Linked DNA regions of Cricetulus griseus. The protein of the gene in region 1 binds, or shares a complex with, the protein of each later gene. Links are inferred from orthologs where the notes say so. Each region holds a gene or a part of one and is shown in the gene's direction. Other genes may lie near its edges. The genes, in order: Prkaa1, Prkab2 and Prkab1.

Evidence for each region.
Region 2: the proteins of Prkaa1 (region 1) and Prkab2 are in contact, whole or in part, in a crystal structure (PDB 4RER), measured with the Homo sapiens proteins. The link is inferred for Cricetulus griseus from reciprocal best matches to the Homo sapiens genes PRKAA1 and PRKAB2. Residues at the interface, in NP_006242.5 of Homo sapiens: Gly20, Val22, Lys40, Lys42, Asn59, Arg60, Gln61, Lys62, Val69, Arg73, Val93, Ile94, Ser95, Thr96, Pro97, Ser98, Asp99, Ile100, Met145, Met175, Ser176, Asp177, Gly178, Glu179, Phe180, Arg199, Leu200, Ala202, Pro204, Glu205; in NP_005390.1 of Homo sapiens: Val80, Arg82, Ser84, Ser108, His109, Asp111, Ile115, Ser138, Asp159, Phe160, Glu161, Val162, Ala165, Leu166, Ser182, Ser184, Gly190, Gln191, Glu192, Met193, Tyr194, Ala195, Phe196, Glu199, Arg201, Lys203, Ser204, Pro205, Pro206, Ile207.
Region 3: the proteins of Prkaa1 (region 1) and Prkab1 are in contact, whole or in part, in a crystal structure (PDB 6C9H), measured with the Homo sapiens proteins. The link is inferred for Cricetulus griseus from reciprocal best matches to the Homo sapiens genes PRKAA1 and PRKAB1. Residues at the interface, in NP_006242.5 of Homo sapiens: Gly20, Val22, Lys23, Ile24, Thr32, Lys40, Lys42, Asn59, Arg60, Ile63, Arg64, Val69, Ile72, Arg73, Ile76, Gln77, Val93, Ser95, Thr96, Pro97, Ser98, Asp99, Ile100, Phe101, Met145, Met175, Ser176, Asp177, Gly178, Glu179; in NP_006244.2 of Homo sapiens: Pro79, Val81, Arg83, Leu103, Pro104, Thr106, Val113, Ile115, Asp159, Phe160, Glu161, Val162, Phe163, Ala165, Leu166, Met167, Val168, Asp169, Ser170, Gln171, Arg201, Ala202, Pro203, Pro204, Ile205, Leu206, Pro207, Pro208, His209, Leu210.

What each region holds. Positions count from the first base shown.
Region 1 is NC_048595.1:339,142,768-339,153,082, forward strand, and holds part of Prkaa1 (5'-AMP-activated protein kinase catalytic subunit alpha-1), read left to right. Parts: intron 1-1,759; coding exon 1,760-1,853; intron 1,854-5,695; coding exon 5,696-5,840; intron 5,841-6,917; coding exon 6,918-7,005; intron 7,006-10,292; coding exon 10,293-10,315. UniProt on the Homo sapiens protein: Catalytic subunit of AMP-activated protein kinase (AMPK), an energy sensor protein kinase that plays a key role in regulating cellular energy metabolism.
Region 2 is NW_023276806.1:58,810,185-58,820,499, reverse strand, and holds part of Prkab2 (5'-AMP-activated protein kinase subunit beta-2), read left to right. Parts: intron 1-2,347; coding exon 2,348-2,514; intron 2,515-3,645; coding exon 3,646-3,739; intron 3,740-3,921; coding exon 3,922-4,042; intron 4,043-6,528; coding exon 6,529-6,662; intron 6,663-7,269; coding exon 7,270-7,338; intron 7,339-8,357; coding exon of another isoform or gene 8,358-8,394; intron 8,395-9,810; coding exon 9,811-9,888; 3' UTR 9,889-10,315. UniProt on the Homo sapiens protein: Non-catalytic subunit of AMP-activated protein kinase (AMPK), an energy sensor protein kinase that plays a key role in regulating cellular energy metabolism.
Region 3 is NC_048597.1:96,093,102-96,103,416, reverse strand, and holds the end of Prkab1 (5'-AMP-activated protein kinase subunit beta-1), read left to right. Parts: intron 1-1,212; coding exon 1,213-1,376; intron 1,377-2,394; coding exon 2,395-2,488; intron 2,489-2,738; coding exon 2,739-2,853; intron 2,854-4,827; coding exon 4,828-4,961; intron 4,962-7,937; coding exon 7,938-8,006; intron 8,007-8,200; coding exon 8,201-8,278; 3' UTR 8,279-9,419; downstream 9,420-10,315. UniProt on the Homo sapiens protein: Non-catalytic subunit of AMP-activated protein kinase (AMPK), an energy sensor protein kinase that plays a key role in regulating cellular energy metabolism.

The sequences.
Region 1 (10,315 bases):
CAGCATTGTCACACTTGGTCCCATCATCTGCTCCTGCCCTTTGTTAAGCTGCCTAACCTGGAAAACCACAGCGGGCCTGGCCTACTTCCTGTGCTGTCTGAGGCTGGAGGTTGCTTTCTGCCAATTACAAAGCCCGCCCTCCTGTTTTAGCGTAATTCATATCACGCTTATTCTTGTTCTTCCCGTTGTCTGACAGAGGCCCTTCTGATAACGCTTTGTGCTTCTGTTTGTATGTAAAGAACCGACCATTGATTTTATAGTAAAATTCTCTGTGGCAGGTGCCAGGCCCTATGTTTGATCTCCAGTTCCACCCAAAAGAAAAAAAGAGGCAAAGATTTCTTGACCTCCAGATTTCAAATTTCTACATGTTGGGAATTAGGCTCGTGAGAGACTGCACTAGAAATGTTTTTTCCCTACCCTGCTTGTACTTGACAGACATACCAGAATCTGAGGAATCTAGTATTGCAGGAGGGCAGTGAGCCTCATTGTTGTTTTGAGGTTGGCACCATGAGGCTATAGGTAACTTATTTCTTACCCATGTGTTACCGTGTAGGCTAGAATTTAAAGCTGCTTGGACTTCTGTTGAACTGGCCAGCTCAAATTGTTTGTTTTTTATCTCTCATTTATTAAAGTGTTTTGCAATATCATATATGCCGATGTCCCTAAATGTACATTTATTGCTTTGAACTCTGGGCCCTATGCCCACTGCTTACTTTATATCCCCACTGGGATGTCCTGGTCAAGTTTCATCTCTTTATCACCTCTCACCATTGTGGTTAATTGCCACTTAACCCCTGTCGAAAACTTAAGAGCATCTTAACAGTCCTATTTATTCCTCTTCATACCTTCCCTCCATCTCTTCCTTCAGAGTGGACCGCTTGTCTATCTCTGTGCTTTCTTACCATCACATTGGTCTGGACCACCTACCCTCTCATGGGCTGCTGGAGGAGCCTCAGCTGCTTCTTAGCATTCAGTCAGTTCTTCACACAGCTGCCACTTGTTCTTTGAATATGCAGATCATGTGACTGCTAGCATTGAAAACATCCCATAGCTTTTTGTCTTCAAGTAAAAGCCAAAAGTCTCTACCTTCCTTGCTGTGACATCTCTGGCCTCCAGTGACTGACTCCACATCCTGTTCTCTCCTGGCTTGTTTTGCTCCTGCCTTACTATGAGCATGCCCAGCAGGCTCTGTCCTGGGCCCTTGCCCCTTGCCCCTTGCCCCTTGCCCCTTGCCCCTTGCCCCTTGCCCTTGCTTGCCCTTGCCCTTGCCCTTGCCCCTTGCCCTTGCCCTTGCCCTTGCCCCTTGCCCTTGCCCCTTGCCCCTTGCCCCTTGCCCCTTGCCCCTTGCCCCTTGCCCCTTGCTCTTCCCTCTGCCTGGCTCCCCTTCCTCCCGGGGAATGTAGTCTGCTCCTTCCTTCCTTCCCTCCTTCCTTCCTTCCTTCCTTCCTTCCTTCCTTCCTTCCTTCCTTCCTTCCTTCCGGCTCTGCTAGGTTGTGCTCTGGCCTTCCTGGAGAACTCTGTACAGAAGAGATTTTGCTTCCTTTTCTCCATTGCATGCTCTGCACTACATAATTAATGCTTATTTACTGTCTGCTTCCTGGCCCCAGGATCAAGAGCAGCACAGAAACAGGACACTGGCTTTGTTCCCCACAGTCTTGTAGCTTCTAGCACAGTACCCGGTGTATTATAGGTGCTTAGTGACTATTGAATGGATGAATACACGTTTTAATATTAGTAGATAAATGTTTTCTCTCACCAGGTACCAGGTCATCAGTACACCATCTGATATTTTCATGGTGATGGAATATGTCTCAGGAGGAGAGCTATTTGATTATATCTGTAAAAATGGAAGGGTAAGCCATTCTCATTTAATCCTGTACATATTTTGTAACTCCCCTGTATCCCTTATTTGCATCAAAATGTCAGAAAGCAATTTTCAGAGGTCTGTTTAGTAGCCAGTTCCCTTAGTCATATTTGCTTAAACTTATAGGCTGCTTAGAGGTAGAAAGAAGGACCTCATTGATGGGCCCCTGAGCCCACTTATACAGACATAGATAATAAGTTATATATTTGTTCAAGGTCACATGACTTATTAGTGATAAGAGTTCACCTAAATCCCTAAAATGTATACTCTTCAGATTTATGTTTTTGGGTATACAAACCTTTTTCCTTTTTTTGAGACAGGCTCTTACTATGTCATCTTAGCTGGCCTGGAACTCAATCTGTAGATCAGACTAGCTTTTGATGCAAGGAGACCTCCCTGCTTCTGCCTCCCGAGTGCTGGGATTAAAGGCATGCTCAGCCTATGAATGCTGGGATTAAAAGTGCGCCTAGCCAAAACAAACCTTTTTTTTTTTTTTCCAAAAGAAAAGGTATTTTTATTTCAGTAAAAAACCATAATAATACAGTTGACTTCCTACTAAAAGCACTAATGAAGCACTCAGGCAAACATTCCTTAATATATTCTGAAGTTTGATACCAACAATCTATGATGCTCAGGTCCCCCCTGTATAATGGTTCACTATACAAAACTTTTTAATATGCAGCCAGGCATTGGTGGAGCAGGCCTTTTATCCCAGTACTCGGGAGGCAAGGGGATCTCTGTGAGTTTGAGGCCAGCCTGGTCTCCAGAGCGAGTGCTAGGATAGGCTCCAAAGCTACACAGAGAAACCCTGTCTTGAAAAACCAAAACAAAAAACAAAAAACAAAACAACAAAAACAAACTTTTTAATATGCATCTTAAACTTTATAAGTATCCCTTAAAATATATATATATTATTAAATACCAAAGATGTAGTAGGACTTGTTGTTAACCTGGCCATATTTAAGTTGCATCTGCTCTTTGGTCTGGACTCTGATGTACTTGGAACAGTAAGAACAGGCTTCATGGAGGGCTTAGGTGTTAGAGTCAAAGACTTTGGTGTTGGAAGGACTGTGGAGACATTTAAGTTATAGATATGAATACTGAGCACTGTCTCCTGCCCATACCCGGCCTTAGGTTATGGGATTTATACCTTCTAAAAGACCCACACCTGGCACTGAGAAAAGAACTTGGCCTGCTCTCAGTCTAAAGTTATGTGCGTTATCCATTCATTTGCTTTACATAGTGTTTCTCTTTAATCAGAATAATAACTTACTAACCAATTTAATCTTTACTTATTTCTCAACACGGTTAATTTCTACTTAAAGCATTCCCTTTCTCATCCTTCAAAGCCCCACTCCTGCCCCCTAGAGGAATTCTTCCTAAAATAACCACTGCCTTCTTTATCTTTTTTCTTCTGCTTGTCATTTCCAGTCATTTTGCACTACATTATGGGTTGTTTGTTAGTTTTATGTTTTAAATGCTGAATTTTCAGCTGTCCTGTTTCTGTATTTCAGATATCTGCCTTATTTTCTGAAATTTTTAGACAGCCTGCTTGTTTGACTTCCCCTTACCTGGTTGAGAAACACATTTTGGTTTTAATTGTCTTTAGATTTCTGCACTGTTCTGTTCTCGGTCCTGCTTATCCTCCCCACCCCCCTTTTTCCTGTTTTTCATAACTCTTCCTCAGATTTGGTGATTCTTGACTGTCCATGTAAATGTCAGAATGAAGTTCCAAATGCCAAGCTCATAGACATGTGAGACTTATTGGTTGGTGGCTTTTCCCATAAGTTGAGTTGTTATTTTGGGTAGGGTAAATCATTTGCTAACAATCATAAGTATTTTTCTTCTTCATTCGATTGGATATTTTCTATTTTGTTGACAGTAGTAGTTTAGCTGTTGGAACTGAGCTGGGAGTAGGGGTCAAGTCTCTTCTGTTAGTGTGCCAATTGTCACTTAGTGGGCATCTTCCCTACATTGCCCTGTTCCTGCTGTGGTGATTTCTTTCTCTAGACCTTGGTTTTGCTTCTCTCTTTGTGCTCAGTCTGTCTTCATCTGTTGTTCAAGCACTTCTCTTGAGGGCTGCTGCCTCTCGGTCTTTTTGTTTTATGGGCCCTGTGCATTGCTGATAACATCTAGTACTGTTACCACATACTCCATGTGATCTCATCAGCTGAAATGAGCATGGCTCTGTTCATCTTCCTTTAGTCTCTGCTATTCTTTGTACTGTATTTCTCTAAGTATAATACTTTTCATTTTGTAGTCTTTCTACTTATTTTACCTCTTATATTATTAGTTAATTCTTCTCATCCTCTTTCATACATTTTTTTTATAAACATCTACTGAAACAAATGAAGGCATTAGATTGCAAAAACATTAACATATTTTTCTTGAGGAAGGATGTCTTACACTTCAGTAGCTATTTTAATTTTGCATCCCAAGAAATGGTTTATCTTTGTCCCCACATTATCCATGCATTGAAGGTGTAGAATTCTGGATTTAGGATGCCCACTCATGACCTGCCAGAGGATTGCATATGAGAGTCCTTGCCTAGGGGATCTGTGGCTTATTTATTAAATGCACTGTCCTGGAGCAGATGTAAACCAGTAGTGGTTATTACTTGATGAGCATACATCAGAAAATATAGGGAAGATTTTTGAAGATTATTTTAAAAAGATTATATTTAAACATTTTAATTGTAGTGTAAGATTTTTTTAAACACACAAAAGGAAAAAGAATTAAGGGTTTTGTTTTGTTTAGATAAAAGCATCTTGGGCCTGAAGAGATGGCTCAGCAGTCATGAGGGTGTGCTGTTCTCTCAGAGGTCTGGAGTTTGGTTCTTAACACCCATGTTGGTGACTCACGACTGTCTCTTGACTCTAGATCCAGAGGCTCCAGTGTCCTTACAGTTCTGGCCTCTGTACACACACACACACACACACACACACACACACACACACACACACCCTTAAAAATACCTTAAATTTCAGAACACAGTCTATGGTTACTTTGTATTTAATTTACAGTGCTTTAAGTAGTAACCCCATCCCAACAGCACTTTCTGTATTCTTTTCCTTTCCTTTCATTCTTGGGCAGTTTCATCCATGTGAGTGTGCATTCTGTTTATTCTCACTCCTATGATCGCTTCTCTCTCCCACTCCTGTCACTCCCCTTCCTTCCTACAGGCCTCTTTCTTGCTTGCATGACTTTTTGTTTTGTTTGGCGATTGACCGAGTCTGACTAGGACTGTCGGTTTGACCATGGGTTTGCATCTGTCCATTGGAGCATGTTCTGTGTCACTCTGACCTTTTTCTCTCCACTGTTACACTGATGTGTTTTTGTTTTTTTTAACTGTTGAATTTTTGTCAACTAGAATAGGGCTTTCCTTTCATTCATTTCTGTATCATGAATGTCTAACCTGTATAGCATATTGAAAGTGTTCAATAAATATTTATTAAAAGAATAAAGGATTAAACATCACTAACTTAGAGCCAACAGCATGCCTAGTTTCAGGTAGATGTTGAAACTACTAGTCCTAGCCCATGAACTACAGAAGACGACAGGTTTTTTTAGTGCAGTCTGTGCAGGTGATAGCATCAGAAAGTTGAGCTGCTGATCTGGGTCCCCGTAACCTCCTGGCATTTCAGTTTAGTGTTCCAGTCAGTTTAGTGTTTGCCTGCATTTCTTCCCCATTTCAAAAGTACCTCATGGGTGACATTCACTTGGAAGGTTTCATGCTTTGGCAGTTTATAGGCTGGAGAATTATAAGTTTCCATTGAAACTTGTATTACTTAATATAGTACATAGCTTAAGATACTGCTCTACTTTTCCTAGTTGGATGAAAAGGAAAGTCGACGTCTGTTCCAGCAGATCCTTTCTGGTGTGGATTATTGTCACAGGCACATGGTGGTCCACAGGGACCTGAAACCTGAAAACGTCCTGCTTGATGCACACATGAATGCAAAGATAGCTGATTTCGGTAAGGACATTTTGACCTATTCCAGGAGTATACGTAGCCGCCTTCAGTTGTGTCTGTGGGTTATGCTGAGAATCCCATCTTGTAAATGAGCATGCAAAAGGGAAAAACACTGAGTTCCTCTCTTCAAAACTGAGTATAAAGAGATTTAATTATTTTGTGAACATGTACACATGCAGTCGCATGCCTGAGCACACACAAACCTCCCCCCCCCACACACACACATGTGTGCACACTTGGGCACACGCAGCACTCCCACACATGCATGTTTACATGTACCCAGAATCATATACAAATGGCAGAGGACATCTTTGGGGGTTGTTTCTGTTCTTCCACCATGGGGGTCTCACAGACTAAACTCAGGCTGTCAGGTTTGGTGGGAAGCACCTTTGTCTGCTGAGCCATCTTGCCAGCCATAAAATTCAGTTTTGTGATAGTAAATCTTTCAAATTGTCAACATTAGAGATTTGAAACAAAGTGACTTTATATCTAATATATTCTTTTGGTCAGGTATGGAGAAAATGGAAAGTAAGTGGGGTGGAATTATTGAAAAAATTGAAATCTAGAAAGAAAACTTTTAAATATTTAAATGCTTTAAAATTGAATTTCAGATATGGTCACACATGCCTCGAACCCTGTATCCCAGAGATGGAGGCTACATAGTAAGGCCCTCTTTCATGAAAGAAAAGAGAATAAAATACAGAGATTATAGGTTCCGGTGACCATTCTGGGCTTGGGTTTTGTTTTTATAGAACAGAGCAGGACTGGTAGAAATCTTTCTATCTCTCTGAGATTATTTTGCCTACCAATATCTATCTTGAAAGTTAAGCATTTCACATTTATTCTAGTAAACAAAGCCATCACTAGTTTAATACATACTCATTAAACTCTAGTTATAGAAACGAATTGTGCATTTTTGTATAAGGGTAGAACATTTAGGAGGTAAAGTCTGTGATCACATTGAAGCAAAGAAAAAATAAATGGTGGCTAATCTTGTTATCATAAACTTGGCTTTGTTGTAAAATGGACTTTCAGTTTTGTCCATGGGGAACCTTGAGTGGCCGTTGTTTGTCTTTTCAGGTCTTTCAAACATGATGTCAGATGGTGAATTTTTAAGAACAAGCTGTGGCTCACCCAATTACGCTGCACCGGAAGTAATTTCAGGAAGGTAGTGTTTGATAGTATGATACTTTTTATGTATTTGTAGTACTTATTTCTTTTTAGATTTTATTAGTCTATATTGTCACATTTAATACTAATGAAGGAAGAGAGAAATATTTTCTCACTTGCAAATTTTGCATTCTAAGAATAATATACAAGGAACAGGAGAGGTGGCTCTGTGGTTAAGAGCACTTACTGCTCTTCTAGAGGACTGGAGTTTGGGTCTCAGCACCCATATTTTGGGTGGCTTACAACTGGCTGTAACTTACCTCCAGGAGACCCAAAGCACGCTTTTGGTTTCTGCAAGCAGGTGCATGCATGTGTGTATACACCACAAACAGACAGACAGACAGACAGACAGACAGACACACACACATACACACACACACACACACACACACACACACACACACACACACACACACACACACACACACACACAAATAAAAATAAATTTTATAAAAAATGTAAGTGGATAAATTAGCAAATCCATTTATAGACAAAAATGTTGGTTTGCAAGTCATGTTAAAGTAGTTAGGATGAAGTACTTTAATTTTTTCCTTTGGTGGAAGAATTTAAAGCAAGTCAGTTGTAAAGGTAGATAGGTAAGTTGCTGAAAACCTGACTAGCAAACAACTTTCTCGAGAGAAATGGCTAACCTGACAAAAAATAAAAAATGAGCATTATAAGAGGTTCATGCTTGTAATTCTAGAGGTTGAGATTATTCGTTGATATCCAAGAAAAACAAAACAAACAAAACACCCAGGCAGAAAGCAAAACAGAGTTACAAGTATAATGTAATGTAAAGTTTCATAATTATTCAAATAGATGGCATCTGTGTAGTAGCTTCATATTTTATGAGGAAAGAAAGTGTCTTAGGAAATTGAATTAAAGAAGGTGGTCCTCCAGAATTGGAAGTCAGGCAGACGGGCTGGATGTAGTGAGCATTGCACATGTTTTGAGGTGGGACCATATACACGTAGACCCTGTATCAGGAAAAAGCGAGGTGGGGAAAGGGAGAGAGGGAGAAAGTCAGATTCACTTGCATTCAGTCTTGCTCTGGATCTGCTAGATACTGCAACATAAGAATGCTGATCTTGGCTGGGTGGTGGTGGCACACGTGTTTAATCCCAGAACTCAGAAGGCAGAGGTAGGCAGATCTGTGACTTTGAGGCCAGCCTGGTTTACAGAGCAAGTTCCAAGACAGCCAGGGCTACTCAGAGAAACCCTGTCTCAAAAAACCAATCAAACAAGAAAATTCATTTGTGTTTTCTATCTTAGTTCCTTTGGTATGAAAATATGCAAGACCTAGATACAGTGGTATATATAATTATATAAAAAGTGATGCATTATGAGCAGGCATACATAAAATGAGCTATTAGCGAAATCTGTCCAGTTTGCATAGTCAAAAATATGCAAGACCTAGATACAGTGGTATATATAATTATATTAAAAGTGATGCATTATGAGCAGGCATACATAAAATGAGCTATTAGCGAAATCTGTCCAGTTTGCATAGTCAGTCTTTGAGGTCTGGATGAATAGAAACACTTATTTTCAAAAAAGTTTTTATTGATATTGTAATAGTTTATTTTACATGTTTTCCCCCTAAAGCCAGACTCTGAATGCATGATTCAACTTTTTTGCAGTGAGTTAAGATACTCACTTGTCTCCAGCTCCCCAAACGTGGGTGTCAGTTGTGGGGTTTGGGCAGTCTTTGGGTGTCTCCAGCCCTTACCAGGTTTTGACCTGGGAGGAATGACAAACTCAGTGAGTTGGTCTTGAGTATAAGTTTTACTTCACACTTATGTCAAAGCAACACACAGCATAAACAAACAATCCTAAGAACCACAGACAATAGGCTCACAGCAGGGAGTACCTCTCCTGCAGTGGCCCTAGGTTTAGGGCTGGGACTTCCATTCCTCTGGATTCAGGACAGCGAGTCTCCTGAGGGCCTGGTGTGGAGTCTGGCTCAGAACCGGCAGCACTCAGCTTGATGGACTGGTTTGTCTTAGGTTAACGGAGGAGAGCTCCAGGACATAGAGTCGTGGTACACTCTAAAATTCCTAGTTCTGAGCTGGGCCTTAAATAATTCGCTAAATTGTGCTAATCACACTTTGCCACACTTCACACATTTTCACTCTTATCTACAGCGGCTGGGCTGCGTAGTGGGCCTATACTCCCTTTCCTTTAATCTTTCTTCAGCCAAGCCTTTGCCTGCCTGGTTGTAGCCTCTGTGCTAATCTCCAGCCAGGCCTTTGCCTGCCTGGTTACAAGGCTCCTTACAATGGGGCCGCTGGAAGTGAATGAACTGGCTTTTGGAGCCCATTCCCTTTGGAGGGATACCTTGTTCAGCCTAGATACAGGGGAGAGGGGCCTCGGTCCTGCCCCAAATGATGTGACAGACTTTGACCCTTCTGATTGGAAGGCTTCACCCTCTCTGGGAGTGGATGGCGGGTGGGATGGGGAGGTGGAGGGGCAAGAGGGAGGGTGGGAGGGAGAGGGAACTGGGATTGATATGTAAAATAAGATTGCATTTAAATAAAAAAGTTGTGTGTGTGTGTGGGGAGATACTTATCTCCAGAGTGCTTCAAGGAGAAGTTTAAAGTACTCTGTGAATTCCACTTACTTTGGCTTGCTCTACAGCCTCAAGCTCTTGAATTTTGATGTGAGGGTTTTAGGAGAAATGGGTGAAATGGGTTCAGAGTCAGGCACTACAGAATTGAATCTTGGTCCAGTGAGATGACTCAGCTGGGAAAGCGCTTCCTGCCAAGTGTGATGACCAGAGTTTGATCCCTGAAACTTACTTAAAGGTCGAAGGAGAGAACTGACTCCACAACTTGTCATTCACCTCCACACTCACTGTGGGTGTGCACAGATATACACATGGCACATACACATTTTACCGCATGCGCGCGTGTGCACACACACATGCGCACATGGAATAAAATTTATTTTAAAAAAGTATCTTATCTCCATGGCTCAAATTCAACATTGATCATGAGCCTTATTGGGTTTTATTGATAGGACCCTTTAAGGGTCATAGTAAGGCAGTAAAACAATTTTACCCATGGCTCAATATTGACAAAACACCATAACTTGTAAAAGGCAATACTGGTAACATTAACATCTTTATGTATGATGTGCAGCAGTTGCTATAAATACCATATTCTGATCACTCATTTCTTTGAAAATGATTTTCTTGTATTTATTCTTCATAAAATACTTGTATTTGAAGAATGTTGAGTAGTGCATTCGGCTGTTGTGATTAATGCAGCTGCCTTCCCTATTCAGATTGTATGCAGGCCCTGAGGTGG
Region 2 (10,315 bases), on another chromosome or scaffold:
CCCCCCCCCAGTCTCATGAAGATTAAAAACTTTATAGTTCACATGTCCTCCCCCCACTGATTTTTTTTCCTTAATCATCTTCAGACTGTAATTTGAATTGCCGATTTGCTGCTGTTGCTGGTGGTTCAACTCCAGTAAACAGTCTTGCTGCGTTCCCTGCTACCACAGAAATGTCATGTCATAAGTGGAAGGGCTTTGCTCCAAAGCCAGGTGTATTAATAGTGTAGAGCTTTCAAATCCTGAACTGAAAATCCTCCGTCATAAAAGTAACTGATAGAGACAGTGGGGTGGGTGGGGGGCATCTTTGCTCTAAAGGTCAGGCTTTTTAGTAGACTCACTAGGGTTCTCCATCCCTTTTGAACATTAGGATCCCTAAGATTGTTTTTAAAACCTTATGGGAAATCTGACACATTTATAAACTAGAACAGTACAATGAACTGTGTGTATGTCACCCGGTTGAAATGGTGCTGAAAGGTCACGAATGAGTGGCTTTCTGTGCTCCAAGCCATTGTCCCACCCACTACTCTGAAACAGATGCCAACAAATAGTATTTCTAACATTTTAGGGTATACCTAAAAAGGTGATTGTTCTTTAAAGCTGATACAGTAGTGGCTCACTCCTGTAATTGCAGCTGTTCAGAGACTGAGGCAGGAGGGTCACTGCCAATCCGGAGTGAGAATTTGACCCCCCTAGGAAAAAACAAAACACGTTTTCCCTGTTTATTGTAATATAAGTACAGTATAATTATCTGATAGCTTTAAAAAAAATATGTTCTCAGGTTCTGTTTGGGAATTAGAATCTGAGGGTTGTTCTTAGGCATTGGTAAACATGCCTAATGCAGCCATCAACCCCCAGTGCATTGCTCTGAGACTGTGGAGCCAAAGCTTTGTCTTAGCCCAGTCTCCTGAATAATGTAAAAGTCCCTTCATGTTCTTTCTCCTTTTACTTTGGTTTGTACTTGTACAGTAGTTTTCAGAACTATTGGAAGACAGAATGAAAGGTAAATTTTTTCATTTTAGATAAAGCAGGGAAAAGCCCAAATCAGCTAGTCTTTTCTTTCTCTAACCTTTACTGTGTTGTATGTAATGTTTGACTTGATGCCATACAGTCTTATTCCAGTCCCTGAAGCCAATGAAAGTAGGGATTATCAAACCTTTTCTGTCAAAGAACAAATAATAAATAATTTAGACTCTGTGGGTCACACAGTGTGTCATAGCTCCCCAGGTCTGCCGCCCACTGAGACAGAAAGTTGTGGATGGCAGTAAACAAGTGAGAGGCTGTTTCCAAACAAAAGCTTTGTAAAAAGCTGTCTGGCTCACTGGTTACAGTTTGCCCACACTTTTCCTGAAGGTTGGTGATGGAAAGAAACTAAGAAATTCATATTTCTCAGAATCCTATAAACCCTGTTTAGTAATGGATCTGCTTTTGCTCAAGGAAGCTGCTGTTGATCCTGTGCACACAGAGCTCCAAAATATCATCCATCTTCTTGGGGCAATTATATATACCTGGCCTCAGTTAGCAAGTAAGGTCTCATAACCATTTCAGCCATACTGAATCGGTGGTCTTGCTTTGGAATTTATGTCGATTGATAGATGATGGTGTTGGAGATGAAACCGTCAGCCTCGTGCTTGGTAGGAAAGAGCTCTACACGGAACTACATCTCCACCTTTAATGTTCCGTTGTATAACCTAGTAGCTAAAACAGCATTGTTAACTACTTAGGAATTTTGGTATCTATAACTTTAATTGCAATTGACAATCGAGACCTGTTTGCTTCTGAAAAAAATATGTATCTGGCTTGATTTTCTTTTAAAGAACCATACTTGACTTTCTTACATTTTTTTTTTCTCTTAAGAGGCCGTCAGGCAGGCAGATCTCTGTGAGTTTGAGGCCAGCCTGGTCTCCAGAGCGAGTGCCAGGATAGGCTCCAAAGCTACACAGAGAAACCCTGTCTCGAAAAACCAAAAAAAAAAAAAAAAAAAAAAAAAAAAAAGAGACCGTCAGAAGTGTATCTTAATTGGCTACACACAAATGAGACTGGAGGAAGGGTTTGGAGGGTTTTGTTTGTTTGTTTGAGGGGTGATCCAGAGAAGTTCTGCAAAGAAAATGATATGCGCACACTGGGCAGTAGGTTGTGATTTAGGCTATGCTAGGATATAAGCCATTTGACCATTTTGGACCCTATATTAGTTCTTTTCTGTAGTTTGTTAAAACTCTTGATTTAATTGCTAGAATTAGGGTTGCTATCTTTAGTTGAAACCTAGAACCTTTAATACCCCAGGGAAACTTACCTCTTAAAAAACCTTGGGTCATAATTTATTCTAGGGATGACCTACTCCTTCTTACAGCTCCCCGGGGAAAAAGAGTTTGTACCCTGGCAGCAGGACTTGGATGATTCTGTGAAGCCCACCCAGCAGGCCCGGCCTACTGTTATCCGTTGGTCTGAAGGGGGCAAGGAGGTCTTCATCTCTGGGTCCTTCAACAATTGGAGCACCAAGATTCCACTGATTAAGAGGTGAGGACACGCGTCTCCGCTGCATCTATAGAGTGCAGGAGTAGACACCTGATTCCCTTTCTCAGGGGAGAGAGTAGGCCTCTGGGGAGTCTCTAACAGCATTATGGGTGCATTTCTTCAGGACTGTGCTTCTCAAGCCATTTCTTGTCCAGAGGAAGTCTGCAACTAGCAAATTCCCATTGCTTTGATTTCTGTATTAAAGCAAAATGCATTATGATATTGTAAGTATATGCCAGTTCATTGCTGGCAAAGCAGTAGTGAATGATTTATGTGGTTGTCAGAGTGACCTTTTATATAATAGGTTATTTTCGAGAAAAGGCTCACCAAAATATGAAAAGAGTACCCTGAAATATTACCTTTTACCTTATTTATACTTGTGAGGGCTCTGCTCTGTGTGTGTGTGTGTGTGTGTGTGTGTGTGTGTGTGTGTGTGTGTGTGTGTGTACATGTATATGTGCATACATGTACATTCAGTCAGGTATGCCCATGTATATACATGTGGAGGCCACAGCAAGACCTGAGTATCTTCCTCTATGACTTCTAACCTTGAGACAAACTCACTGAACCAGATTTTCTCCATTTCAGCTAGCTTTACTGGCAGCAGTTTCTCTGGGTCTGCTTTCTCTACTCCCCAGTGCTGGAGTTACAAGCATGTGTAGCCATGCCCAGCTTTTGATGTGGCTACTGAGGATTCAAACTCAGGTCCTCAAGCTCTCGGGCACTCTTCCTGGCTGAGCCCATCTCCCCAGCCCCAAGGTTCTGTTCTGCTGAAACAAAATAGTTTACTAAGAGAAAATATTTTGGCAATCAATCCTCTGACCCCAACCCCAACACCACCCCACACCCTACACCCATACCCCACACCCCACACCCCACACTTCACACCCACACCCTGGTGCAAGCACGCACACAGATTAGTTAAGAATAAAGTTATTGGGAGAGGTTGACAGGTACATGGCTTGAGTGATACAGAAAAAGAGGATGGATTTATACTTTGCAGGGGGTTGGGGCACAAGGGCTGTATAGCATAGGAATGTGGAAGGTGATTGTGATGGTGCCATCATTGCCCTTTTCTCCATTCTGTCTTCTTTAAAGAACTTGGCCAGTTTGACCTTCTGTTTTCTTCCCTAGTCATAATGACTTTGTTGCCATCCTGGATCTTCCAGAGGGAGAGCACCAGTACAAGTTCTTTGTGGATGGACAGTGGGTTCATGATCCATCAGAGGTAAGGCCTTGATTTGCAGGGAAGCCTCAGTGGCCTCACTATGACTTACTGCCCTCTGATTCAGTAGGCAACAGCCCTCTCTAGTAGAGATTTTTCCTAAAAGTAGAGTGGAGGTTGGGTGAAGAAGATGGATTTGAAAAGGGAATCCAATCATTTTTTTTTTTTTTTATTCACTGTTTCAGCCTGTGGTTACCAGTCAGCTTGGCACAATTAATAATTTGATCCATGTCAAGAAATCTGATTTTGAAGTATTCGATGCTTTAAAGTTAGATTCCATGGAAAGCTCTGAGACATCTTGTCGAGGTAATTTTGCACTATTGCTTTCTCTTTCTTACAATGCATATTTCTTTCCCAAAGTGGTTTCTTGTTTTATCAGGAATCTTATAATCACACCATCTACACACCCCACTTTAACACAAATCCCTTGGTATAATGTCTGCCTTTCTTACTTGGATACACTGTTTTCCATTTTGCTTTTATATAACCCACCCATAGCCTGTGGTTTTGAAAGCTGTTTCCAGTAAGATTTCACACTTTTCCATTAGCATCTGGTAATATTACCTGTAAAGGCTGGCTACGTCTTCCTAACCTGAATCAGCTAGTTTGAGAGCTCAGCTGACAATTATGGTTTTAGGAGAGCCTACAAGTGTAATTGTTGCTGAGGGAAAAAGAGAAAAGAGAGAAAAAAACAAACCAATAGCTGTTCTCCATGGAGTTGAATATACAGGGTGAAAGTCCTGTTTATTTTTGTTTGGTGTAATACCACTTTCCCCAAAGTCTTTATAGCTGTGCTTGTTCGCTGTAGTAGCAGAGGCACGTTTTGCAAACCATATCCATAGTTACTATCTCATTACTGTATGATGGAGTTGTGCCTGCCTGGAGAATTGCACACTTTCTGCACTGAGCATATGGCCTCTTGCATACAAAGTCTGCCTCTGCTACTTGTTATGCCATCGTGCAACTGACTCCCAGCAGTAAAATTGAGGGCTTGGACCCTCAGTGAGCCTCTGTCATATTGTCTGAAGTAGAGCACATAGCAGAATCTCAAGGACAAGGGACAAATTGTCCATAGCACAGTAACTACCAATTTAGAAAAAAAAAATGTTTCATTATATAAACTCAGAAAGTTATGGTGAGCATTCTTATTGGCTGGAGGGGTGGTGATCTTAAAAGGTTTATATTCTGAGGCCACTAGGACTATGATTATATTATGATCTGCAAAGTAACCAAAGAATATTTGACAGTCAATCATAATTATGTAATGGGAAGACTAAAACACTTTCGGGTTCACCCAGTTTCCTAATCCAGTGATGTAAGGCATAGAATCCATTTATTAGGAATATACAGATAATGGGTGTAGGCATGTACATAACTTTTCAATGTCCTACTTGGATTTTTTAGTGCCATGGACAGCACTTGAAAATTGTCCTGTGTTATTTACCAATGGTGTTTGTGGATATTTAATACAATGTTGTTGCTACTTCTTTCCTTTTGCCTTATATGTTGAAGCAAATTTGAGTTATTAAAATAGACTTACTAAAATCTTTTCTTTGGAACTTTAAAATTGTGAAACAAAGAAAACATAGTTCATTTAATTTTTGTAAATTTAACCTGAATGCTTTTCATTTTTTAAGTAGAATTCCGGTACCATAAAACACATATTTTTTAATTGTAAAATTTATCCTTTTATTTATTTATTTTTTTGATTATTGAATTTTAAAACCCATCTCTTTCTCCTCTCTGCCCTGTGTCAGTCACAAAGCTTCTGCCATATGCATTTGCCTGTTCTGGACAGTTCATACAAATGTAACCATGCACCATGTGGCTTCTTTCATTTAGCAGGCTTCTGGGGCTTTCATCCTTGTTGAAACATGTATCAGTACTTTGCTTGTTTGTGGCTGAATAGAAGTCCACGGTATGACAGTTCCTTCTTGGTTGTCCATCCCTTGTCGACAGACATTTGTTTTCTGCTTGGAGCTCTTACAAATTTTGCTTAAGAACACTCATGGTCAGATTTTTTTTTTTGGGGGGGGTAGCTTATGTTTTATCTTAGGTGATAAACCCAATATTGTAATTACTGGGTCACAAAGTTTCACTGTTTGAGGATGACTATACTGTTTTCCAAAGTGGTTGCACTATTGTTCATTTCTACCAGTGGTGGAAATACTGTAGTTTGAAGCCACAGTATTTGCCAGTGTTTCCCAGTACTTGCCATTTCAGCGGCAGCCATCCCACTGAGTATGAAGTGGTATTTTTTGTGGCTTACATCTACACTTCCTTGACTACAGCTACAGTGTGTTCTGTCTGCTGTAATCATTGTAGACTTAGAGTGTATAACGTTGTTGTCTGTTACTTTGGTAGAAATAAAATGAAATCTAATCTTTTCACATTGAGTTCACAGAGCATCTTTATTTCTACTATCACTTTGATTTTTTTCAAAAGCACTATGACTTGGGAAGATTTTTATCTTGAGGATGAGGAAACTGACCATATTAAAGGGATCTGTCCAAGGACATATCGCTGACAAATGGAGTTGGTTTCCTGGAGCCTAGGTGCTGGCCTCTCATCACTTCCTTACATCATGTTGCCTTGTTGGGAATCTTCCTGGTCCATGTTCAGGACAACTCAGACATTTCCTTTGCTCGCTTACAGTTACAGGCCAGTAGGTCACAAGTCCGTTGCTTCAGGACCTATATTACATTTAAGATTAATGGCTGTGTTGATAGTTTTCCTCATGCGTTATTACTAACCCTTCAACTTTCCTTCACGTTTGCATGAATATTTTTCAGACCTATCCAGCTCACCCCCAGGGCCTTATGGTCAAGAAATGTATGTGTTTCGATCTGAGGAGAGATTCAAATCCCCACCCATTCTGCCCCCTCACCTACTCCAAGTTATTCTTAACAAGGACACTAATATTTCAGTGAGTATCCTGAGCAGGTTGCTAAAGCGTCTGGGGAATCTTAGGACCATTGAGGCCAAACTTCAGGAATCTTGGGGCTGGAATTAGGACCCAGCTTTGTCAAGGCAATGAAATAAGCCATGTGCATGTCAGCAGCACTGTAGAATACTTTTTCCAAGACTGAACTTTAGGTACCAATAGCGGAATTTATAGTTGTTTCTGTTTCTAGTAAAATCAGAACCAAACTATGCTGGAATTAATGTCTACTATGACTTCTAGTCTATCACAAGATAAGGGTACTCTCACTAGGGGTTATACAGAATTCACAACTTTTTATGTAAGTAAATTTTATCTCTATTTTACTTAATTGATGGTTGATTCCCAAACCATCTATACCTGTCAGCAAGGTTTTTGTTTTAATTCTATTAAGGAAAGTTAGCAGATGTTGGGGCTTAGCATTTCACTCTTAGATTTAGGATTTTTCCAGATTTTATGATGTGGGAATACATAATTCATAGGAGACAAAGTGTTACCTATTTAGAGTTCTTAACAGTTCAAAGGAACAGTTAACTTGGTTTTGTCTGCATTTAATCACATTTGTGGGGGGTGGGGCTGTTTTTTCTCCTAGTGTGACCCAGCCTTACTTCCTGAACCCAATCATGTTATGCTGAACCATCTCTATGCGCTGTCCATTAAGGTAAGTGGTGGCCGCGACGCTCCACAGCCTCCCGAGTGGAAGGGTAAGAGTCACACATGCTTTTCGGTGGTAACTTGCTTTCTGCGGCTTTTAAAGCTGCAGTTGACACTGACAGTCAAGTTACAGAAGAGCCGTCTTTTCATACCTCAAGGCTGTTTGATTTTAAACTTCAGTCTCCTTTGAAGCTTCCCCCACCCCTCAGACAGGGTTTCTCTGTGTAATAGCTCTAGCTGTCCTGGAACTTGCTTTGTAGACCAGGCTGGCCTTGAACTCACTGAGATTCACCTGACTCTGCCTCCCAAGTGCTGGGATTAAAGGTGTGCACACCACCACCCATCAAACAAATTATTTGTTTTTGGTTCTGGGCTCAAGCTAGCTGAACTGTCAGTGATGGGGACCTTTCTGCTTCCCAGTGTCTGTGGGTGGCTGGAACCTTTGTACCACCTGTTTACTTAAGTTGGAGTTCAGGTAGTTGGATTCCATGTGCAGAAAATCAGGTATAGCTTCCTTCAACAAGTTCTTGAGTAAGACAGTAGAGCTTCCTAAGATATGGAATCAGCTGCAATGAGATGCCCTGCTTGTGTATACCACACGTTTCTATCGCTTGTATAGTAGATAGGGAGTTGGTTTTACCAGACGTCTATGTTTTTCCCACCCTTTCCCTAGAGTCCTTAGTTTCTCTGTTGCTTTAGTATCTTTGTGGCTTGAATGTTAGCATAAAGGTATGTAGTTCTGTGGCTGGCTAAGCCGGTCCTTGAGGGAACTCCTTGGAGCAGTTGGTGAGCAACAGATTGAGAGGTATCCTTCCTGAGTCTGAGTATATGCAGGCACCTAGGGGACCCCCAGCCATTTCTCTGGAAGCTGCTCAGGTTGCTTAGATGTGCGGTGAGAACAGAACAGGGAGGCCACTGATAGAGCTGCCTTTAATAGAGTGTGTGGGTGTCTATAAAATTTTAATGTACTGAACTTCATTTTCATAGTAACCTTGAGAAGTATTATTTTTAACCCCTGTTTTGTAGATAAAGAAACTAAGACTCAGAGAAGGTCAGATTGCCAGTAAGTATAAGACAGACTGAGATTCAGTCCTCTTAACCCCCACCCCCTGCTCTTTCCTGTCTGTTACCATGAAGGTCTTCTCCCAGATGCTTGTCTTTCACCTGCTCCAAATCTGCAGCTCTCGTGGAGCTGAGTTTCCCTGCCTGCTCCCACCTTGTCAGTCTGTCTCAGCACAGTCCAGCCAGAGTCTTAGTCCTGGACACCGTCATTGTAGGTAATGCAGGGTAAAGGAAGACAGCTAGCTGCACTGGTCTCTATGTTGGACTTTTGGGGTTCTTTGAGATCTGGTTGAGTTTTTCCTCCTGTGACTGCTCTGTAGCTGTCAGTTGGTGTCCCTGGTCATCTCTTCTGTTGCAAACCATGCTCTCATACATCCTGAAAGTTGGTGCCTGTGTGATACAAGGGACGGGGCTGTGATACAAGGGACGGGGCTGCCTCTTCAGCTCCACTTGGGTTCTCAGCTTGTTTGGCCATTTGGAATTGACCTGTCAGATGGGCTGTCTCAGGAAGCTGCTGTACTTTTAAGGTTAGATAGGAACTCCAACAGTGCTCTCTGAGTCACACAGTTCATCTTTGACGTTAAGTGGCAATTGGACCTGCTTCAGGCCTTAGGAATGAGCATTGAGAAGGATCATTTCCCTTTTACTGCATTTAATATTTTGTTCTGGGAATGGTTGATAGCACTTTTTTTCCTTGCTAGGCATAGGCCTAATATTGTAATTTGAAATGAGAAGGGGAATGATAAAACTGTAAAATAGTATTTCTTCATGGCCTTTTATGTATCAGATACTTCATCTGATCTTGTAATCAGAACCCCTTTAAGGGTAGCTATTATCCTTTGTATGAAGAAGTTTTAAAGGGGGCGGTGGGACATAGAGACCATATATAGACTCCTCAAGGCTGCCAACCGATACCACGACAACCGGAGACTGGACTGGAACTGAGTAAGATTTGACAGCCAAGCCAGCCTCTTTTATTTCAGACTGCCTCTTGAGAAGTAAATGTGTTGGTTAGTGTTGAAAAATTGTGTTGAAAAAATTTACAACAACCTGAGGTGTGAGTCTGAGTATACCTATGGGGAATTATATTGAATACATTAATTGGTATAGGAAGACCCATCTTAACTGTGGGCAGACCATTCCCTGGGCAGGGTGTCCTCGGCTGGATAAAGTGGGAGAAAGTATGCTTAACAAATGTGCAATGTGTCAACTGCTTCAGCTTCCTGATGCCTTGGCTTCCCTGGTATAATGGACTACAGCCCAGAGCTGTGAGCCAAAGTAACCCTTCCCTCCATTAAATGGCTTTTATTGGAGTATTTTAGCAAGACAGTGAGTGTCTGTGGAAGACTGATGGCTGGTAAGACCCAGCAGCCACACAAATTAACGAACTAGCTGTATGTGCTTTTCTCCCCTGCAGGACAGTGTGATGGTCCTTAGTGCAACCCATCGCTACAAGAAGAAGTATGTCACCACGCTGCTCTATAAGCCCATTTGAAGAGGACATCACTCCTTGCCTCCAAGGATTCTGGAGAAGCGTCTCCCTTGCCTTTGAACTGACCCGGTCTCCTCTGAGGCTGGAAGGCTGATTTGTGTTGAGGTTGATCTGTGTGTTTCAGAGCCTCTGAGTAGGGGGCTCTGCTTTTGCATTTGATTGCAGATGAGAGCTTTATGAGTTCATGGAGTTTATTTTAAGAAAAACAAAACCATATATATGCATATGAGGGGAAGGTTACTGGAAGCCTCCTAGCCCAGCTGTCTAGGTTCTCTGCCTGTGGGTAGTTGCCAGGGCCTGAGAGGGAGGCTGCGGCTGCAGGAATGAGTATACAGAAGCTTCTTTTCCTAAAATGAAAGAATAGCAAACTCCTAGGATCCTTGTCAGGCAGAGGTTCTGCCACTGTTCCCTGGTGTCAGAGGGTCAGCAG
Region 3 (10,315 bases), on another chromosome or scaffold:
CCCGTAACTTTAAACAGGCTAATGGCCTGGTCACTCACACTCCGATCCCCCCCATTGAGCTAGGCAGCCACATTATTGTTCTCTGGATCTTAATTTTGAGTCTAATTTGGAAGAGCCTGCATCTTGTCACTGTAACTTATTCCCTGGGCTCGCTGCTTTGGGGGAAAGGTGTGTGCTGTGATCTTTGGAGTGCTGTTTTCTCCACTGAGCTGAGATTGTCCCCACGCCTAGAAGTAATTTTGGCCCAAGGCTATTTAAGAGGAAGTAAGTATTTGTTGTGGCAGGTGTGTAGTCAGTGTGCCCTCTGCTCTCTTTGCCAGGAGCTGAGTAAACTTTCTTTTTAAGAAGGGATGGGTGTTGTTGCTGGAGACACAGGATCTGGGAGGGGAGATTTAAGTAACATTCCTTTGAATTGGCTGCCCAGTCAAGTCAGAAATTCTTCCTGTTACCCCAGTTCAGCTTTGTGGCTACAGTTAGTGGTCACTCAAAAGCACTGGTTCTGAACCTGTGGGTCACAACCCCTTTGGCAAAACTCTATGTACAAAAGAATATATTTACATTATGATTCATAACAGTAGGAAAATTACAGTTATGAAGTAACAAATAAAATAATTTTATAGTTGGGGATCACCACAACTGGAGGAACTGTGTTAAAGGGTGGGAACAGGAAAGTTGAGAACCGCTGCTCTAAAACTGTTGCTGCTCTAAAACTGTTGATCTGTAGCACAGATCCAAAGACTGAAGACATCTTAGATAAGAGCAGATCCTGTCTGCAAGTGAAGGCAGTAGGACCTTCCCTGAGCTCCCTTTGGGGCCTTTTCCCATCCTAGAAATCTAGTCTTTGGTTTTTCTTCTGTCTGAAGAGCTGTGTTTCACCCCAGGGCTGGATGTGTCCCTTTCTCTCATGTTAATAAACTCACCTTGGATTCATGGCAATCTTTTTCCAAGTAAGCCTTACAGCTTCCTCTAGAATTTTTGTGAAGTCTAATGGCAGTGATGGTAGCTAACGATTAAGCACTGACTGTGTGTCAGACCAGTCTTCACAAACTGACAGAAGTGGTTATTTTTATTATCTCCATTTTGCAGGCAGGGGAACAGATGTAAGTCGTAGTAAGTGGCAAGAGCTGCCTGACTAGAGCGTTTTGTCGCTCTTAGATAGCAGTCCTATGTGAGGAGGTTGCCTGACCCTGAGTAAATGGCTCTGCTTCTTAGGCTCCAGAGAAGGAGGAATTCCTGGCCTGGCAGCATGATCTTGAAGTGAATGATAAAGCCCCCGCCCAGGCTCGGCCAACTGTGTTTCGATGGACAGGGGGTGGAAAAGAGGTCTACTTGTCTGGATCCTTCAACAACTGGAGCAAGCTTCCACTCACAAGGAGGTAATGGGCTGGGACTCCAGTTCTCTTGTTGCTTTAGCTGTGTATATATTCTTGTTTCTAAAAGATCTCTGTGGCTGAATAGCATAAAGGATATTTTTGTAAGATGTTGAGTGAAAAAATATTTTGTTTAATGAGTTACAGAGTTCAGATCTCAAACCCTAGACGTCACTGTTTTTAAGTGCATGTTTTTTAAAAGACAACAGTATGTCAGTGGAGAATATTTCTGAGCCACACTCCGACACTCAGCTACACATTTCTTGAAAAAGTTGTTCCTGGTGCAATGGAGAGAGTGCTGGGCTGGGAACCTCAGAGGTGTAGATCTGAGTCCTTACTACCTGCACTAAATAGTCACTCTGTAAGGGACTATCGGCCCTCCCTTTCTTGCTCTTGGAAGGTTGGAAGGTACCTGCTCTGATGACATTAGCAAGGATATACTGAGAGACTTCCTCAAAAACCCAATGTGGATTCTGTCTCAAGAGCTCACCAGAGGCCACTTCTGGTAAATAAATGAAGGGAAAAACAGCACCCTGCTGTGCCATGCCTGGTGGTTGTCAGAGCCCCTGTTTTCCCATGGTTAACATTGAAGGAGGCAACCACTGGGCCCAGTTGCCTCGAGTTAGTTCAGGTCAGGCCAAGAAACAACAAGTTTATATATATGTGTGTGTGCCCTGTTACACTGGTCATCTCCCTGTTCAAGGAAAACTGACAAAGGGAAAGCTAGGCGGCTGCGTCTGTCTTTGTGGGCCCCCTTCCTGGCACCTAGGCTGCAGATTGAAAAGCATGAATTAACCATTTGTTGACTTTTCAGTGTTAGGATCCTAGGTTCCCAGTGTCTGAGCAAAGGGAGTTTTCTGGAAACCCTTGCCTCCTGCTTTATTAAGTGGCTTTCCTAGGTTGTGACCAAGAATTGTCTGAACTGGCTGAACATGTCTGCTCTCCTGCAACCGAACCCTTGGTTGTACCTGGAGTCAGAGGGCAGCCCTCTGAGCTGAAACACTTGCTTCCTCTCTTTCTTCAGCCAAAATAACTTTGTCGCCATCCTGGATCTGCCCGAAGGAGAGCATCAGTACAAATTCTTTGTGGATGGTCAGTGGACGCACGATCCTTCTGAGGTACTCTTCCTGCTGCCCCCGGCCCTCTGGTGCCCACATAGCTAACACCAACCACTTCCCCTGTGACTTCTGTCAGGTGCCTCTCCCTTCATGTGGCTCCGAGTTAGATAGCAGCAGTTGCCAGGCCATTGGTATAATTGACCAAGCGTAGCTAGCCAGGTGGTGAGACCATCCAGCCAGGAATTCTAGTCCTCTGAAAAACTCCACAGACCTTCCATGTTATGATTTCTGCCTGTCTGTCTCTTCCCAGCCAATAGTAACCAGCCAGCTTGGCACAGTTAACAACATCATTCAAGTGAAGAAAACTGACTTTGAAGTATTTGATGCTTTAATGGTGGATTCCCAAAAGTGCTCCGATGTGTCTGGTATGAACAGTTACTTTATCCCACATGTGTGCAGGCTGGGGCTGTGCAGCCTGGACATACATACTCTGTTTCCCTTGCCTCTCACACTTGAGCAAGAGCTGCCCGACCAGGTGGACGGTTGTAGCTCTCTGGGCCACAGAAGTTCATTTCTAATTCTGTCAGCTCTGGCTGTTGGCGTTTAACCCCAAAAAGTCACTGCCCCGTCTTGTGGGCTATTCTATAGTTCCACTTGGCTATAGGAACAGAACCAAACTTGATATTATGCCCCAGGTGAGGCTGAAGAGGCCCTAGAAGACACTTGGGTCAGTAATGAGCTAGCACCAGGGAAGCTGCCAGCTCACTTCCCACTCTAGTGCCTGGAGAATTGCAGGCTGACAGGTGATAAACGACACCTCAATGACCTTGGCTGTCATTTGTGCAATCCATTAGCACCTTGTCAGGCTTCTGAGAGAAAGTGGCTGCCTATAGAAAACAGACTGCATAACACAACTCTCCTTTCTGGAAGCCAGTTCTGCTTGGTCCTGGTAAACAATCTTATACCCATGGAGCTTTCAGGTGACTGCGGTCCACCCACACCCAATAGGAAGAGACCACCTGGAATGTCACAGGGAGTTATTGCAGATGGCGGCAGCAGCTGCAGTTTCTCCTCTTGTATGCAGAGGCTGCTTCCTGGGCCCTATGGGAGACAGTAAAATGAGTCTTGAGAAAACAGATTCTGTTCCGTTTACAGATTTCCCACCATCTCCTGGGTGGGTCTGGAGGTTCTGTTTCTGGGATCTCTCACTATTTGTTTGTGACACCACAGCTGTAAAGTGACTGGTGGGCTTCACTGGCTGTGGCTAACAGGTCAGGTTGTGGATCTGGGTTAGAAATCTAAAACCAGTGCTTTTTTGTTGGGATCACTGGCTGTCCCCATATGACCAGTCACATGTTTCCAAATAGGCATGGAGGCAGTGTGCACACTACTCCCACTGGCTGACATGGAACTTGATTTGCACACTGAAGCATGCTGTCTCTGCTGCTGAGCCCTCTCCAGCTCTAATGCCTAATACCGTGTGCTTACTCCTCATGGCTCCGTTTCCTGAATGCTTTTCTCAGTGTTTCTGCTGTAATGTGTGGTTGGATCATGTAAGGGGAACATGACCTAGAAAATGATGTTGAGAAAGTTGGCAGTTCTGGACCAGCTTAAGGATCAGGTGACCAGAACCCATCCTGATGTTTGGATAATGGCTCAGTACCTCAGCCAGCCAGATGTCACTTTGAGCTGTTTCTGACACGCACTTTCAGAGACTTCCTACTGTGCCTATATAGTTAAGATACCCCGACCTGTCTGGGTGGTGGTGGTGCAACCCGAGTCCCAGCACTCGGGAGGCAGAGGTAGGCAGATCTCTGTGGGTTCCAGGCTAGCCTGGTCTGGTCTACAGAGTGAGTTCCAGGACAGGCTCCAAAGAAACCCTGTCTCAAAAAACCAAAAAAATAAAAAAAGGAATCCCAGACCTGAGAGTGTGGAGCCAAAGAGCCTCTACTTACTTATTTTTGATATGCCAGTACCTCATTAAACCTATTTTATTCTGCCTGGTAGAGCTTGTAGCTTAGGCTAGGCCACTTTTCCCTATTTTGAGCCTTGAACTTGTGGCGTTTGTCAAACCCAGCCTAAAGTAAGAAGGAAGCCTTTCTTCTGACAGGTGAGGTTAGGTCATTAGGAATGGCCCCCCGCTAGTGTGACCCAGACTGTCTTTTCATTGGAGCATCTCAGTTTGCCATTGAGAGAAATGAGCACCCAAATTCCAAAGGTGTTCTTTTTTTGTTTTTTTTAAATCTCTCTGTTCTTCCTTTTTGGAGCTTGAGTGTCTTTGAAGAAAATACAGATCTGTATTGAAGGAACACGGACAGAAAGCTAGATGATGATACCATAATCAAATGCAACTCCCAGAGCTTATGGTCTCAGCATGTTTTGTTACCATCTCCCAACAGAGCTGTCCAGCTCCCCTCCAGGACCTTACCATCAGGAGCCTTACATCTCTAAACCAGAAGAGCGGTTCAAAGCCCCACCCATCCTCCCTCCACACCTGCTGCAGGTCATCCTGAACAAGGACACGGGCATTTCTGTGAGTACTTTGTCCAGATCTCCTTCGTGGTCATGTTCATCTGTTTTCTTTTCTGCCCACTTCTTACGAAGAGCTCTTCTTACAAAGAGCTCATGTGTTTTCCATTGTTGGGAACTGCCATGGTCCTCTGACACTGAGAACATAAGCCACTGGTGAAAGGTTGACACCCGTTATATTTAAATTTCATGAGAAAATATTTAACCACCTCTTCTTGGTCAGCTAGATCCTGGAATTCCTCCTTCAGCCATAGCATTTTAGAATTGAATTTTAATTACCAAGTGTTTCGGAAATATCGGTCCTCCTGGGTCAGAATTTGAGCTATCTTAACACATTTCCTCTGAAAAACTGTGCAGTGGCCTGCAGAAGGGAAACATGGAGCCTGGCCCTTTAGCAGCCAGCTGTTTCTAACAATGCCCTCAAGATGACTGACCCACTCTCAGGGTGCCTACACTAGAACATGCTCCAGTCTCACTACCCATCCCCAGCAGTCACTGGGGATTAAGTTTCCAGTACATGAAGTTTAGGGGACACAGTCAAACCGTAGCAGGTGCTAAAATAACCACGCCACTTGACCCTCCACCCAGAAGTAAACTCCACATGGCAGTGAAATCAACATGACTTTGAGGTGGCTTCCCTCAGAGAAGTCACTGCTGGGCCACCAGGGCAGTTTAAAGACTCCCCTTTCTTAGGCACGGAGAGTCCAAGTACAGAACAGCTGGTGTGGTCATCTTTGTGTATCCAGGAGAGGCTGCTGGGCAGAACCAGCAAACTTCAGACTGACCCTGTGTCCAGTGCTAAGTTGGCAACACCTCAAACGTGCAGCCAGTGGGGTCTTCAGGGACCTTTAGCCGCTGTCCTGGAAGATTTGGGTGAGACTTGCTCCCCTCCCTCTTCTAAAACAGTTCAGAGGTTGGAAGACATTCAGCACCCTCCACAGCTAGGAAGGCAAGGGAGACATGACTAGGGATAACCCGTGCCAGGCCTCCTCTGACACAGGCAACCCTGGGCTCTAACAGACCTGTTTCCAGTTAGGGAATTGTTCTCCATGTGGTCTTATTTAAGCTTCATGGTAAAGAGGCTGAGGTACAGAGACAAATGTTGAGTGGCATCCCAAAGAGAGCGCTGAGCTCACTGTCTTGGAGGGTTTGAGAAATCTAGCACATTGTTGTGTGATCCACCTGCTCTTGCAATTGTTTCTCATATCCAGAGAGATTCTGTACCTTTTGACCAGTATCTTTCCTGTAACTATTGCTCTGTCTCCTATTTTGCACATATGGTTTTGTCTTCCTGTGCCTGGCTTATTTAATGTCCACAGAATTCATCCATATTGTTACAAATGACAGAATCTCCTTCCTTCTTAAGACTGAGCCACACATCATTGTTGCAGTTTCTTTTCCTGTTGCTGTAATAAAATATTTGACAAAAGCAATTTAAGAGAGAAAGGGTATATTTGGATTTGTAGTTCAGGGTTTAGTTTATCCTAACAGGGAAAACAGCAGTGGGAGTTTAAGGGAGGTGGTCTCATTGCATCCATACTCATCCATAATAAATGCGCCGTGTCCCATCCAGGAAATGCTGTTGAGGTGGCAGTTAATACTGCCACCTCATTTGAAATCCACTTATCCATGGTTTGTTGTTCCACATCTTGGCTATTGTGAATAGTGCTGCAGTGAACATGGGAGTATTGATGTCTCTCCAGATTTCATTTCCTTTGGATGCACTCATGCATTGCATGCACAGACTCATGGGTTGTGTGTGTCTAACTTAAAGGATCATACATAATGTTTTCCATATATGATACCGATTGATGGCTTATTAACAGCACAGAGTAATCTTAGTGGTTTTTAACCACACACAGAAAATGATGAGTATGTTACTGATCCAGTGTAGGAATTCCACAGAACTTGCATGTCCCAAGCATGATGTGCTCAAAGTATTAGTTAACTTTTAAAAAACGGCAGATTAACTGTAGTTCTTGGAAACCTCCCAGCAGCAGTTGACTGAAGCAGCATTTAGCTGAGGCTCTCGTTCTCCTCCTGCCAGGCCTGCCCAGCAGGGGCTCTCAGGGAATGTGTGACAGAGCTGTTAGCCTCTGAGATGCTCAGCCTGACTGGAGGACAAGTGCAGTGCTGGGAAGCTCGGCTGCCAGGGCAGGGCTAGGACTAAGACCTGGCTTCCCAGCTCCTCCACCTCCACCCACCCCTTCCCCAAACCACAATGTACTCTTCTGTCCCCAGACTCTGTCTAACTGCTGCAGCTCATTAGGATGCAGCCTGCCCCTCCCAAGTCCACACTCAGAGCCCTCAAGATGACCGAGAACAGCATGGCGAAGGCCGTCCAGCTTCGTTTTGGAAGGCCTGGTCACACCTCCTCAGTTCTTGCCTTCACCCTTCTGGGATTCCTGGATTGTTGAATGATGTGAACACACCCTTCCCTTGAGACCTTGACTTTGAGCCACCACAGACTAATTGCCTATAGTTAGTTAGTTAGTTAGTTTGTTTGTTTGTTTGTTTGTTTGTTTTTCAGTGCATTTTCTTTAAAGTTGGGAATGTGCTATCTGGCCTCTTGAGGTGGAAAGGTGTGGCAAGGCATAGTCCATGTGTTCACTTCCAGAGTCACCTACTGTTATCTGCTTCATTACGATTTTCCCATCTGCTTCTCAGGGCCATTTAGTGCACAGCATATCTTGTGTTCCATGAAAGCATTTCAGTGGGTCCTTGGTCTTCTACCTCTTCTGTGTAAGGATGGGGCTGGGCAAGCTTGACCAGAGTATTCCATTGTGTTCTGGTACATGGTAGTTCCAACCTTCTCAACTCAACTGCTGTCTCCACAGCCCTTCTACTGCCCAGCTTGGGAAGACAGGTCAAGCTGAGAGCCAGTCTGCTCTTTGGCTGCCTGGCCTGTGCCATGAAGTAAGGGAAGAAAATCGTCTTGACTTCAAGTCTTATTTGCTTATGTCTCCCTTTGTTCCCTCAGTGTGATCCAGCGCTGCTTCCAGAGCCCAACCACGTCATGCTGAACCACCTGTATGCACTCTCCATCAAGGTAATGACTTGTCTGGCCTTACAGTACTTTATGAGCATGTGCTCTGAGGACCCATCATGCCAGGATTGGGGTGTGACAGGCCCTGGCTCAGGCTCTGCCCAGGAGTTTCTGTTTTCCTTAAGTTGTGGTGATTCTCACGTTCTCTGAAGTTGGAGTACCTGACTGTCCTGTCTTGGTCATCTCCACCCTCATAGGACGGAGTGATGGTGCTTAGTGCAACCCACCGGTACAAGAAGAAGTATGTCACCACCCTCCTCTATAAGCCCATCTGAGATGCTAAGAGCCAGCCGTGGACCACAGGGACAGCAGGCAGCACTGGGCTCTCCACGTGCATGTAGACCCTACTTCACTCTCTGGGACATCTTACCCCTCCCTAGTCCTCCTTGAAGGTTTGTCCAGGCACAGCCTCTAGAAGAGTCCAGAAATGGGATGGGATGGCTGCCTGCAGTCCCAGAACTGCAGTGCATGAGGCTAGTGTACTCCAGACATCATCCCCTCAACTGGCCAGAGATGTCTAAAGCCAGACCTGAATGCTGGCACCTTGCTAGTAAAAACTGGGGAGCAGGGACTGAAGCCACACAAAAGTCTTCATCGTCTGCATCCAAGGTTGATGGCCTGTCCCTGCTGAAGCCTGGCCATGGATGTAAGCAATATTCAATCTTGCCTGTCCTTCCAAATCAAAGCAGTAGATTGTAGAATCTATGGGAACTCAGATGTCTGATTTCCAGATGCAGCTTTGCAATTGTTGCCCGACACTGTGTGCACTAAGGACCTTTTATAACTACAGTGGCTGGCTCTCCAGTCCTACCTAAGGCAATAAGTCACCCGGATGAGACTGTAGATCATGTGACTACACTCAGCAATAATTGTTCTCAACACAAACTTCAAAACCCACTGCCGTATTCTCCATTAAACTGAATGATCCTGAGGACTGGCCATCATGGGAGGTTGTTCACGCTTTCCTTCAACTGTAATGGTGACAGTGTTTCCATGACACCTTTGTCAAAGCACTCACCCTCCTTTCAGTTCCAGCATGTGCTATTTAGCTGGGGACCCATGTCTCTAATGAGCAAAGGATGTCACAGTGATTGCTATTGCTTGTTCTAGAAGAACTTGAACCCCTACAGCAGCCTGCTATATTCCCAGCAGGACGATGCCCTAGGGATTAGTGTGAATGACACTCATCTTGGTTTCCATAGTGATACCACAGATGTGCCCATTGGTTATAGGTTCCTGTCACCTGTCAGCAGAAGTTACCATTATATCCTTCGTTCTTGCCAGAGAGGTGAGAACAAGCTCAGTGATGTCCAGTATTTGGCTAACCTGAGTTTGGGTACCATCTGTTACTGTTTTCAAAACACTGAATTGCTGTCATCTTGATGTGTAAGTTTCAATAAAGATTTGTAAAACTAACCAGAGGAAGTTGAGATTCTATTCATTTTTTTTTCCCCCAGAAAAAATGAGAACTTCCAGGTCTGCTCGGTGCTGCCTTGTAGCACTCTAGTGAATGGACAAGACAGTGTAACGTCAGCTCCTTAGGAAATCTAGAAACCCATGCCTGAGGCCAGAGACCAGGGCATTTTAGAGGACAAGGTTCCTGGAACATGAGCACAATTTCACATTCACACTTACACCGTGGCTCATCTGCTGTGGTCTGACTGTCCCATCCAAAGCTCATTTGTCTGCACTGTAGTTTAAAAGGTGCTTTTTAAGATGTTGGGTCATGAGAGCCAACCCCCCAACCCTCATGAGGTAGGCCTTACAACAGGGCTTCTTGAAGTTTTTGGCTAGTTTACCTTCATGACTTCCACCATGTGAGGACAAAGCCTTCTGCCCCTGTACAGCAGCCCTGGCCAGGTGACCACATTTAAGCATCTTGTCTCAGACTTTCCAGAAGTACAAGAAATAAATCTGTTCTTTATAAATGACACCGTCTCAGGTGCAATTTACTATAGCAGCACTACACAGAAACATCCACCCATAGCCGGGCAGTGGTGGCACATGCCTTTAATCCCAGCACTTGGGAGGCGGAGGCAGAGGCAGGCAGATCTCTGTGAGTTCAAGACAGCCTGGTCTACAAGAGCTAGTTTCAGGATAGAAACCCTGACTCTTAAAAAAAAAAAAAAAAAAAATCCACCCATGTTAACAGTCTGAAGGATGTGATAAAGGCCCATTGAGTTAAAGCTGCTTCACATGGGTCTCCAGCACTTGTACCCAGCAGATTAATAGACAAACAGAAACTTGAGCCTTTGCCTTTGAGTTCGAGTCTTTAAGAGAAAGCAAGGAAGTCATGAATATGTCTGTATTTC